Nothobranchius furzeri: one gene and its partners. The protein of the gene in region 3 purifies or fractionates together with the protein of the main gene of each other region. This does not show direct contact. Links are inferred from orthologs where the notes say so. Each region holds a gene or a part of one and is shown on either strand. Other genes may lie near its edges. The genes, in order: isca1, ap4m1 and tepsin.

What was found.
Region 1: the proteins of tepsin (region 3) and isca1 purify together in Homo sapiens (co-immunoprecipitation; 3 studies listed by BioGRID and IntAct, with this or other methods). This does not show direct contact. The link is inferred for Nothobranchius furzeri from reciprocal best matches to the Homo sapiens genes TEPSIN and ISCA1.
Region 2: the proteins of tepsin (region 3) and ap4m1 purify together in Homo sapiens (co-immunoprecipitation; 3 studies listed by BioGRID and IntAct, with this or other methods). This does not show direct contact. The link is inferred for Nothobranchius furzeri from reciprocal best matches to the Homo sapiens genes TEPSIN and AP4M1.

Annotation. Positions count from the first base shown.
Region 1 is NC_091757.1:56,837,415-56,841,599, reverse strand, and holds the start of isca1 (iron-sulfur cluster assembly 1 homolog, mitochondrial), read right to left. Parts: upstream 2,801-4,185; 5' UTR 2,788-2,800; coding exon 2,689-2,787; intron 841-2,688; coding exon 787-840; intron 1-786. UniProt on the Homo sapiens protein: Involved in the maturation of mitochondrial 4Fe-4S proteins functioning late in the iron-sulfur cluster assembly pathway. Probably involved in the binding of an intermediate of Fe/S cluster assembly.
Region 2 is NC_091750.1:26,790,758-26,794,408, forward strand, and holds part of ap4m1 (AP-4 complex subunit mu-1), read left to right. Parts: intron 1-1,020; coding exon 1,021-1,087; intron 1,088-1,303; coding exon 1,304-1,357; intron 1,358-1,426; coding exon 1,427-1,533; intron 1,534-2,018; coding exon 2,019-2,110; intron 2,111-2,554; coding exon 2,555-2,599; intron 2,600-3,651. UniProt on the Homo sapiens protein: Component of the adaptor protein complex 4 (AP-4). Adaptor protein complexes are vesicle coat components involved both in vesicle formation and cargo selection. They control the vesicular transport of proteins in different trafficking pathways.
Region 3 is NC_091756.1:28,830,886-28,835,035, forward strand, and holds the start of tepsin (AP-4 complex accessory subunit Tepsin), read right to left. Parts: upstream 2,917-4,150; 5' UTR 2,839-2,916; coding exon 2,800-2,838; intron 2,543-2,799; coding exon 2,470-2,542; intron 2,185-2,469; coding exon 2,093-2,184; intron 2,016-2,092; coding exon 1,922-2,015; intron 1,830-1,921; coding exon 1,762-1,829; intron 1,681-1,761; coding exon 1,599-1,680; intron 1-1,598. Other genes in the region: ndufaf8 (NADH dehydrogenase [ubiquinone] 1 alpha subcomplex assembly factor 8), read left to right, coding at 3,164-3,322. UniProt on the Homo sapiens protein: Associates with the adapter-like complex 4 (AP-4) and may therefore play a role in vesicular trafficking of proteins at the trans-Golgi network.

The DNA of each region.
Region 1 (4,185 bases), on a different chromosome or scaffold from region 3:
ACTTTCCATCGGCAGCTAATGTGGGAACTAGGGGTAGAAGACTATTTTGACGTTCAGCCTGCACGTTAACCTCAGAATGACTGATTGTATTTCACAAAACTGGCTTTTCATTGAACTTGCCCTTTAAGATATTCACTGCCTAAAAACAGGGTATCTGCAAGTTTAAGGGAGCCAAATTTAAGACCTTTTAAGACCTTTTTTAAGGCCACTTTGACCCAATTTAAGCTATTTTTTTAATTAAATTTAAGCTATAATGTCCAGCTATTACCTGGAACCAGTGCTAACCATGTGGCGAACGTGGGATTAGCCATCCAGTTACCATTAATGTTGCACTTCCCCATGGCGCAAGCTCCCGCTAGCTTAACCAGCTAATGTGCTCATCTAAAAACAGCCCCCTTTCACAACCAGCTGAATGTGTACGGTTCCGCTTACGCCAACTTCGTACACAAAAAATGCTGAACTAGAAATTCACGAAAATTTTATAGAAATAAAAGAATTTTGTTTAATGGGTCTTTGGTAATTTAAGACCTTTGGAAACTATTTAAGGATTATTTGTCATTTTTAAGGATTATTAAGGCCTTAAATTTGGAAAAGCAAATTTAAGACTTCTTAAGACTTTTTAAGGACCCGCAGATACCCTGTAAAAAATGATCTTAAATTTTCTTTTCTTATGCATTTTACAATATCCATGTGGTTTTTATTAAAAGTGTCAATAAGTTGGACTCAAACATCACAGTAAAAACAAACTGTCCTCCAAATGAACTTCAGTGACTTTTAATAACTCACATATTCTGGTTTGTCCTGAAGCAGCGATCTGATTTTGCTCACAGCTGCTGGAGACTAAAGAAGAAAGAAGAAAGTTAATCCAAAGTTTTAAACCAAGCTTCAGAGTGAAGTGGATTCAAAACGAAGCTTTTTAAACCTGAAAAATCTGTAACTGTATGTGACAAACGTCAGGAAGAAACAGGAACATAGCAACAAAATGTGTTGTAATGGATGGTGTTTTGGTCCCTTTCACACATGTGATGCAGAGGCTCTGTAGCTGGTCTGAAACTGAAGTTTAATAAAAAATAAATAAATAAAAAACTTGGAATTATAGTTGCAAAGAGAAAAAGAAAGGTTCGGCTGCAGCTGGAAGGCATTTGAGAGCGATACTTGGCTTCAAAGTGTTAATCCCTATGAGATTAGCATTTAACGTCTAATGTGCTGCATAAATAAAAATTGTTTTTTCTTTTGTCTTAAGTTGAAATTTAATGTGTGTAAAATAAATGAAAGAAATCCAACAGAAGTGGTGTTACAAACACGATCCCTGTCGGTAATTACAAAAGAACGACCCTGACCCCTTCTGTCAGCTGTCCCCTGCTGTGTGTGGAGTCGCGTCTCATTACGTAGTCCTTCCTTCAGCATACTACTGTTATCTGCTCCGGCCACTACATAAACACATTATCGCACAGCAGCAGAGTCCGTCAGCTTAAATTCCTCATCAGCACTTTTTCAAACCGCCCACCTGTTAACAACAAAGTGAGTGGACTGACAGCTCACACTGTTTACTGAATAAGCTGTCATAATATTATCAATGCATTTTAGTTGAGACAGAAATTAGATGTGAAATGCCTCAAAGGGGCAAAATTCTGTTTAATTCAGCTGTCTTCATTTGATTTAGTGTTAATTTAATATAACCGAAGACTGGTCAAAAACTGAGTAACATTGCTTTAACATAAACTATTTTAATGCTGATCATTTTAGTCTACAATTTATTAGGTAAAACCTATAAATTAGTATATGCTTGCACTTGTTTTAAATAATCAAGGCCATATCAATAGCACAATACCTTTTTTCAACAAAAGTTGTGCATAATGAATGTCAAATGCTACATTTATAATTTGTAGTTAATTATTTATCAATCAAAGTTATAGCTCGCTGTGCAGCATAGCTGCTGCAAAACAGGTGTCAGCTGACACTATTTTCTTTAAAAGCACATGAAAAACGACTGTGCAATTTTATTTGTACTGAAGGAAACGAGAGATACCGTTCCTGCCGCGCGCTAGGCAGGGCTTTCCCTTGTGAGATGTTTGTTTACAGTCTGTAGAAATGACGATGTTCTCTTTCTGACCGAACCTCAGCTTCGTTAGCGTTCTTGCATTATTTTGGTTCTAATACTAAAGTTAAAATCAGCAGCACTTTACTGCATGGTGGCGCAGTTGGGCCGCATGGTGGCGCAGTGGTTAGCACTGTTGCCTCGCAGCACGAAGGTTGCAGGTTCGAAACTCGGCTGCGGCCTTTCTGCGTGGAGTTGCGTGTTCTCCCCCTCACCTCCGGGTACTCCGGTTTCCCCCACAGATCACAACATGCCCTATAGGTTATAGATTGTAAGTCGCTTTGGATAAAAGCGTCTGCTAAATAAATACATAAACATAAATTCAACTGTCACACTTATGAAAGCTGTCTAATATGCGTTTAATCTAAAAGAAATCCTTAACCATAACAAGAAAATGTACTATGACAGGCAGGAAGTACGCACTACGTAGACGTTAGAACAGGATTGTTAGCTAGCTAACTGACTTAGCCAAGGTACACAATTAGTAGCACTAGATCGTGGATGCTGGATAAATACCGCACCTTAGAAACATATACGTACAAAGATTAAATGTAAATTATTTTCATATTTTATTAAAAGGATGAACTTACGAGCGTTAGAGCGGCTCTTGTAGGTAATATCTTTCTTTTATTGACCGCTCTGACGGTCGCTCGAACCAAGGAGGCAGACATGTTTACTGTTAAAATCATAACATAGAATTGCGCATGCGTGAGACCAAACTGGTAACGCCTCCTTGAAGCCAGTCGATCGGTGATTGGCTGATATTTTGATAGACATGTGAAACAGCAAATGAGATAACGAATGAACGTCTCGCCCCTCTTTTGTTATATAACCTTTTTATTACACTTGTGTTTACAAAGTCGTTCTTCTCACTTAGTTAACGGCAGCCCTGTGTATTTGTTTTTTTTTAAACTATTTAACGATTCCACCTTATCTTTAAAACGTTGACAGCAGACTACTTTCTCTTTGTATTTTTAAGCCATATGGCACACACTGTTTTGGACTTTATGTTCCCGTTGCCTCCTAATTATTCCTCAGTCACACCCCGCCCCCCTCCAAAAAACAGAGGAAGGCATCTTCAAAACGTGCCAGGATTCTTTTCATTAACAGCTTTTTATTTAAAAGTTTCTCTCGAAATATCTTTCCTAGAATTTTCATATTATTTCAGGAAAAATGTGAATGGAACCAACTCAGCAATCTAATAAATAAACAATTATCTTGCTAAATCTTCTAAAATATTCCCTAATTGCTTTAAATTGCATTAATTGCTTTAAATGACTGATATATATATATATATATATATATATATATATACATACATATATATGTGTGTGTGTGTGTGTGTGTGTATATGTGTGTGTGTGTATATGTGTGTGTGTGTGTGTGTGTGTGTGTGGGTGTGTGTGTGTGTGTGTGTGTGTATATATGTGTGTGTGTGTGTGTGTGTGTGTGTGTATGTATTATATATATATATATATATATATATATATATATATATAGATGGATAGATAGATAGATAGATAGATAGATAGATAGATAGATAGATGATAGATAGATAGATAGATAGATAGATAGATAGATAGATAGATAGATAGATAGATAGATAGATAGATAGATAGATAGATAGATAGATAGATAGATAGATAGATAGATAGATAGATAGATAGATAGATATAGATAGATATAGATAGATAGATAGATAGATAGATAGATAGATAGATAGATAGATAGATAGATAGATAGATAGATAGATAGATAGATAGATAGATAGATAGATAGATAGATAGATAGATAGATAGATAGATAGATAGATAGATAGATAGACAGATAGATAGACATATAGATAGATAGATATAGATAGATAGATAGATAGATAGATAGATAGATAGATAGATAGATAGATAGATAGATAGATAGATAGATAGATAGATAGATAGATAGATAGATAGATAGATAGATAGATAGATAGATAGAATTGTTTGTCCTGTGTGTCTCTGTGTTGCCCTGCGATGGACTGGCTCTCTGTCCGGCGTGTACCCCGCCTGATTGCCCATTGACCGCTGGAGATAGGCACCAGGCACCTATAC
Region 2 (3,651 bases), on a different chromosome or scaffold from region 3:
TTCAGTACACACAATTCTGAGATCAGACATACATACATAGACACATGACAAGAATTGGTGACTGTGGTCATTCACAACACGAGTCGCACTACTGTTATAGATCAAGAGGGTTTATATGAGGACAGAGGCAGGGGGAGGGAAAAAAAAGGCACTTCAGAGTTACCCCCGACAGAGAGGATAGCTTTGCTATGCAAAAACCACCTCAGACATATATGCACACAGACTTTAGACGATACACAACATAAGTGTCCACTAGGTGGGGAGGTAGGGTTGGGACTCTCCTCACTTCAGGGCGTGCAGCCGCAAGAGCAGCGCTCATCACCTCCATTTGGCCCGGGGAGGGAGATAATGGGTTAGAGAGCATATTGGATCCTAGATACGGTTCCACGGCCTTCACCGGTCACAGTCCTGCCCAGGCTGGGATAGGGAGAAAGCCCATATATAGCCCATGTCACACACAAACGGTAGCCCAATGTGCCTCACATAGTTAAACAATCACAAGGTAAATGAAGTAGTTAAAATGTCACATCATGCTGTGTAAAGTAAAATCAAACAATATTTACACAGAACAAAATACACAAAAATAAAACATATTAAGTCAAATTATTTACTTTAAAATATAGAACAAAGATAAAACATCACAATATGGGCATACATCTAAAATACATCTAAAATACATGTAGAATACATTTAACACAGCATAGGTAAAGACCTAGTAGACCACAGGTAGGTCAATGGAAGGCGTCATGAAAAAGTTTGGTTTTTAATCTAAATTTAAAATGGAAATGTGGGAGAGGTCTTTATGTCTGTTGGAGGACAGTTCCGGAGATGGCCCACATAGCAGCTAGAGGCGGCCTCTCCGTGCTTGGTGCGGGCTCTGGGTTGTACCTGTTGGAATTGATCTGCTGACCTGTGAGTTTGAAGGGCGGTACGTTTCAAACATCTCTGCTATATACAGAGGTCCTTGGCCATTTAATGATCTAAGAGGAAGTAAAAAGATGGCTACCCTTTCTGCTGCAGGGGGTTTTGATGAAGGCCGACGTGGAAGGAGAGGTCAGAGTCAAATGCTACATGCCCAGCTGTTCAGGTGAGATTACAACCGAGTCCAGTGTCCTGGTCCATTCCCACATGGGTTCTGGTCCATTCTAACACGGGTTCTAGTCCATTCTAACATGAGTTCTGGTCCATTCCCACACGGGTTCTGGTCCATTCTAACACGGGTTCTGGTCCATTCTAACACGGGTTCTGGTCCATTCTAACACGGGTTCTGGTTGATTCCAACACAAGTTTCCTGTGTCAACAGAGATGAGGATTGGTTTGAATGAGGAGTTCAGCATCGGGAAATCACAGCTTCGAGGTAAACCTGTGCTACGGAACCCCTACATTTGGTCTATCGGGTGTGGTTCTGATCAGCAGATCTGTTCAGGTTACGGCGCTGCGGTCCGAGTTGACGAGTGCAGCTTCCATCAGATGGTTCAACTGGACGAGTTTGACAGCCACAGAATTCTCCGGTTCTGCCCGAGTCAAGGAGAGGTATCAACCTGTTCCACTCTACTTTCTAGGCTTCTTCTCCTCTAACTGACTCGTCTGACCCCCCTTCCTCTAACTGTCTCCCCCTCCTCTGACTGACCCCCCCCCCCCCCCCCCAAACTGACTCCCCCTCCTCTAACTGGCTCCCCCTCCTCTAACTGATTCCTCCTCCTCTAACTGGCTCCTCCTCTTCTAAATGACTCCTCCTCCTCTAACTGTCTCCCCCTCCTCTGACTGACCCCCCCCCCCTAACTGCTTCCTCCTACTCTAACTGACTCCCCCTCCTCTAACTGGCTCCCCCTCCTCTAACTGCTTCCCCCTCCTCTAACTGGCTACCCCTCCTCTAACTGACTGCTCCCCCTCCTCTAACTGATTCCTCCTCCTCTAACTGGCTCCTCCTCTTCTAAATGACTCCTCCTCCTCTAACTGGCTGCCCTCAAATAGAAAATGCAAGTGCTCATTTTAATTCCTCCCTACTCCTCCTTCAGCAAACGGTGATGCAGTACCAGCTGTGTGATGACCTCCCCTCGGTGCCGCCGTTCCGTCTCTTCCCGACCGTGGAGAGAGACGCAGCTGGGAGGTAACCAGCAACAATTGGTCTGGACTCATCCAGCTGCTTTGACATCATGCAGATATGATTAAACAAGAGATGACCAGAACCAGCTGGGGCCAGCACCCACACATACATCAGAATGTCATGGCCATGATTGCAGGCCTTAATCCATCTTGCTCAGTCTGTCCGCTTCACTTTTTCCCTCCTCTCATCGGCGTCCTGACGAAGCCCGTCTGTTGCATATTTCACCTGTCTCCTTCTCTTGATGGAGCTACCAGACTCACCTGTCTGTCTGTCTGGCGTTGACACAAGCTAAAGGTTTTGTGATGGGATGCTGATGACTTACATGGTGTAAGATAATATTATACACAGACTCACACACTCAGTTGTTTAGAAATGATTTTGATTTGAATGTTTGAGCCTCTGGAGCCTCCTGGTCCACAATGAGTGATGAAGCTTTTCCCCCTGTAGGCTGCTGATGTACCTGAAGCTCCGCTGTGATCTACCACCTAAGAGGTCAGTCCCAACTATATTCTGCTGACTCGGTAGGTGTGCTTAAGTCAGTCCAGTTGTTCCAAACTATGGTGGAGCGTGAGATTTATAGGTGGATTGGTGCTGCATCTGCAGTGATGCGGGTGTTGTACCGATCTGTCGTGGTGAAGAGAGAGCTGAATCAGAAGGCGAAGCTCTCAATTTATCTGTCGATCTACGTTCCTACCCTCACCCATGGTCACGAGCTTTGGGTAGTGACCGAAAGAATGAGATCACGGATACAAGCGGCTGAAATGAGTTTTCTCCACAGAGTGGCTGGGCTCTCCCTTAGAGATAGGGTGAGAAGCTCAGTCATCCGGGAGGAGTTCGGAGTAGACCCGCTGCTCCTCTACATCGAGAGGAGCCAGTTGAGGTGGCTCGGGCATCTGGTCAGGATGCCTCCTGTACGCCTCCCTGGTGAGATATTCCGGGCACGTCCAATCGGGAGATGACCTATAGGTAGACCCAGGACACGCTGGAGGGTCTATGTCTCTCACCTGGCCAGGGAACGCCTTAGGATTTCCCCAGAGGAGCTGGCGCAAGTGGCTGGGGAGAGGGAAGTCTGGGCCTCTCGACTTACCCCAAATTCCACTACCTCCGCTCCAGTCCGCCCCCGCCTTCCGCAGCCGCTCGCTTCCGAACTCAAATTATACTATACCCGTTCTATAACGGCTCTGCTCCGGTGCGGAGATCGGAGGTGGGCAAACAAGCTTGCGCGGGATTTTCGAGATCTTGCGATACAGTCCGAGCAATAAACGCGGAAGTTAGATCCAAACACCCGTTGTGTGGGAGAAGCATCGGCATGAACTGTTTAATCTGCCCGTCATTTGTGTTGAGAGATCAGCTGTGTTTGGATCAACAAAGTGTGACTACTTTGATAGTGGAAACTGTATTTATGGCTTACTTTTGTGCATTTAAACTTCAGCCGACATTGATAGTTGTTAAACGTTGTTAAACATGTGCATATGAAACAAAAAACGCTTTTTGTTTATCGATTTATTGTGAAAAACGGAAGTTGTGCTTGCTCCTTTTCCTGT
Region 3 (4,150 bases):
ACCTGAAAGAACCCACAGTGTGTGCCTTAAGACATTAGACAAGCAGAGTTCCAGTGTTTGACTTTGATCAAATTAACAATAAAACCACAGAAGTTTCATCCATCCTTCTTCAGCCGCTTAGCTGGGGTCGGGTCGTGCAGCAGCAGCCCAAGCAGGAAGGCCCAGGCTTCCCTTTCCCCAGCCACTTGAGCCAGCTCCTCCATGGGAATCCTAAGGTGTTTCCTGACCAGCCAAGAGACATATGGTGCTTTCACATCTGGGCCAGCATGGACCGGACTGGGTAGCTTTAAAGTGTTCACATCTAGGTGGCCGTGTATTTATCCATGCTCGACCAGTTTTTTGGCCTACATATCAACGCGGTCTGTTTCAAGCTGAACAGGTCCAACACACCCAATGCCAACTGATTGGCCGGTTCAAATACACGCCCAGCGTTAAGGGGAGCTTCCAATTGGCTGATAGAACGAACCGGCGGGAGCTTCCCGCAGGTGCGACTCAGTATTCTGGATGCTGAGACGTAAACATTGGTCGCCTCTGACTGAAGCTGCGGCAGCTCTCTGTTTCAATGCTGTGAGGAGCGTATGCACACACACACACACACACACACACACACACACACACACACACACACACACACACACACACACACACACACACACACACACACACACACACACACACACACACACACACACACACACACACACACACACACACACACACACACACACACACACACAGCATTGCCGTGCCTCGAGCTGCATGGCCTTTGTTTAAGGGAGACACCACAGACTTTTTCCGTGCGTCTTTTGCCCCGCCCACATGCTCAAGAGAAATATGGAAAAGTGAAAAAAAGATGTAAGGAATGTCACTGCAGCAGCTCAGAATGGTCAACGTCAGGGGATGCTCCTCATGATGTGGTGATTGGTGTCTGGGGGTTTCTCCTCCCAGATCCTGACCAAGGCATCACTGAGCTCCCAGAGGTGCAACCTAGTAGTGTTGAATGGACATACACATGATGTCACATGGATGATCTGTTGAATCTAGGTCAGGTGCGTGTGAAGGCCAGTCGATGCTTTATCCTCCAGAACCTGCTTACATACTTTTACCACATGCGGCCGGGCATTTTCATGCACCACGAACCCAGGACCCACTGCACCGGCAAAGGGTCTAAGGATTCCATCCTGATTCTGAAGACAACCAGGGCGCCATCATCTATCCTGCACAGGTCTGTGTGTTTCACTAGGGTTATGTCTCTCTGGAATAACATGGACCCAACATCAAACTATCATTCCTGTTTGATGGTCCTGTCCAACACTCCTAACTGTCTCCTGATGGAGCAGGACTACCAGTGCAAGCTCTGTAGGAATGGCCTGACACTACTATTAGTAAAATTGATCCCCAGGCAAACTCCTGAGAAGCAGCAGTCAAAAAAGATGAGGAGGGAGAAAATGTCTGGCGCCTCCACCTGCAAAACCATTCCTGTTTGAGGCGTTGTCTCATGGTTGCTACCTCAGTTGTTAATTTCATTATTACCAAAACAGCTAAAAATGAAGAACAACCCACTCTGAATCAACATCCCAGCATATATGTTTACTCACCCATAGTCGGGGGTGCTATGCTGTGAGGAGCTATGCTGCTTTTGACAGAAACTGCATCTGTGAAAAGTAAACGAGCCACTTCCTGTAAAAGAAAAGCCAAACGGTTGCTGAGATGCTGTCAGGCTGTTAACACTGACCTGAAAGATTTACCTCAGTGCCTCACCTGTGCTGTGTTTCTCACTTTCTGGTAAAGTGCTGTGCCATGGATGGGATCAGGGGGACCACTGTAAACTAATAAAAGAAAAGCCATCCAGCAGTGTTAATATTGAGATTATAACCCTGTTCCAGCATCATGGAAAGCAGATGAAGTGCTCTAATCTCACCTGATGCTTGCTGGATGAAGGTGGAATTCCTTCTGAGCTCCGTGAGGAAAGGCTTCGATCCATGACCACAGAGATGGACGAAGATCTTTAGCACCTGGTTCACAAGAGATAAGATGAGAATTAATCACACAGAGGAATCGAAAATGTTTGCTACAGATTAGTAGCTCTCACCTTTAGTTTAACATGGCAGGACTCGACTTGGAGCCTCTCCAGAAGGTATTCCAACAAACACTGACCATAACCTAAAGACTCGTGGCAGATTTCTGCAAGATGCTCACTGTTAAAGTCAGATAATCAGACTATAACAGCCCTTTTCACTTTGCTGTTGCATAACATTGATCTGAGATGAATGAACAATTGGTGTGATGCCTGATTTACAAATCCACCTTCATCTGTAATAAACAAGACTCAGATTGATTTCTGACAAGACAGTACACATAAAGCAGCAGTAGATTAATTTGGTTTCAGATAATAACAATGACATTTATATGATTATATATGTATGTGTATATACACATTAACAGGTGTATCAATGCCAACATGGATACTGCCAATCTCCTGGAAAACGTAGCCAGGACAGGGCGTTTCATCATCTGCTGTAGCTTTCATCAGGATGGGAACCTTCAATTAAAGGAATTAATATTTAGATAAATGTGTCCAGAAGACTGGCTAATTGTAAAACATCATAAAATAACTACAGGATGACTTAACGTTAAAGAAACAACCCAACATTTCCAATGAGACTAGTAATGTTGATGTTAGCTAGTAGCTAGCTAAAACAGATTTAAACAGACACGTCAGCGTTACGTCTCACTTGTCAGAGTCTTCTTAGATATTATTTGCGTTTCTAACTAACAATGTATGTAAATGTTCCTTACTTTCTGAAGAAAAGCTATTCGTTCCATAAATGAAGCCATGATTTAGCAAACCAAGCTGCAGGTTACTCATTTTCCTGCTGCTAAAGGAGGGCGGGACTTTAGTTGACAGCCAATCACGAACTAGTCAGTAGCAGCAATTATTTCTATTGGCTTTCAGCTCGATTCAAACAGCCAATTAAATTTAATAACGCTTTCCCACCACCTCCGACGTTTTCTTTAGATTGACAAGTACGCGAGCCTATCACGTATAGGAATATCTGACCCGGATGTAGTTTTGTGAAGGAAACACCAACATGGCGCTGTCGGTGACTTACCCGATTGCTTTTAAGATGTTTTTGGGGTTTTTTGTAATGCATTTAAACCAATGACAAACAATATTTTTCACCATTCATTAATACAACAACACAAAGGACTCCTCTGCTGCTGTCTGATGCGCAACATGTCTGGGTCTAATAATGTGTGGAGTCGAAACCGGGAGAGATTGCGACTCTTCTCTGAAGTGTTTGCTCAGTGTGCGGATGAGGTGAGCTCTCATAAAGGCAGGTTCAGAGGATTTAGACCGCCTGCTGTTAAACGGAAAGTTAAGTCTTCAACTTTATTGTTTTTAAAATGCCCCGTAGAGCTCTGCTTTATTTATTAGACACGTTTAATCTGTAAAATACTTTGAATCAATTTGTCCTAAAACCTGAGATTAATCTACCCTTTAAACTATACACATGCATAAACGCTTTGCTACTGAGGAGGGATCAGTACAGCCACCATAATGTGCAGAGTCAACATCTGGACTGTTGACTTTAAGTTCAAATCCTGACTGGAGACAGTCCATGATCTTCCTAATCAGTCAGAAGGTGAGGGGTGAATTGTTTGTCCACCTGCCAACCCCACACCTGGATCATGGTGTCAGGATGGTGACTTAAGGTTGGTGTGACAAGGAACTTCAATTCAATTCAAAAATACGTTATTAATCCCAGAGGGAAATTGATCAACAGTGATGATGCTCCAATCAGTCAGAGAAAACGACTTTAATCTTTATTTAATCTGATGTCTTTCGCGACACCAGTTTGGTGTTTAGGACGTCCTCAGACATCAGACCACAGAGAAAGAAAAACTACTTAGTGTCATCAGACAGACTTTTTTCCTGAGACCTTTTCGTCTGATGCTATTTGATTAGACGTCTGGGTTTTTGAATGAAACCAGATTTTTTGTCCTCTATTGTCTGATGTCTGAGACCTGAGGATGTCCTAAAGTGCACACCAGGCTGTTCTCCGAGTGCCTGCAAACATGCCGACACCTGCTCAGTACTATTCCTGAAGTGTAGCTTTGAATATTAAACATTTGTAGCGCAATAAAC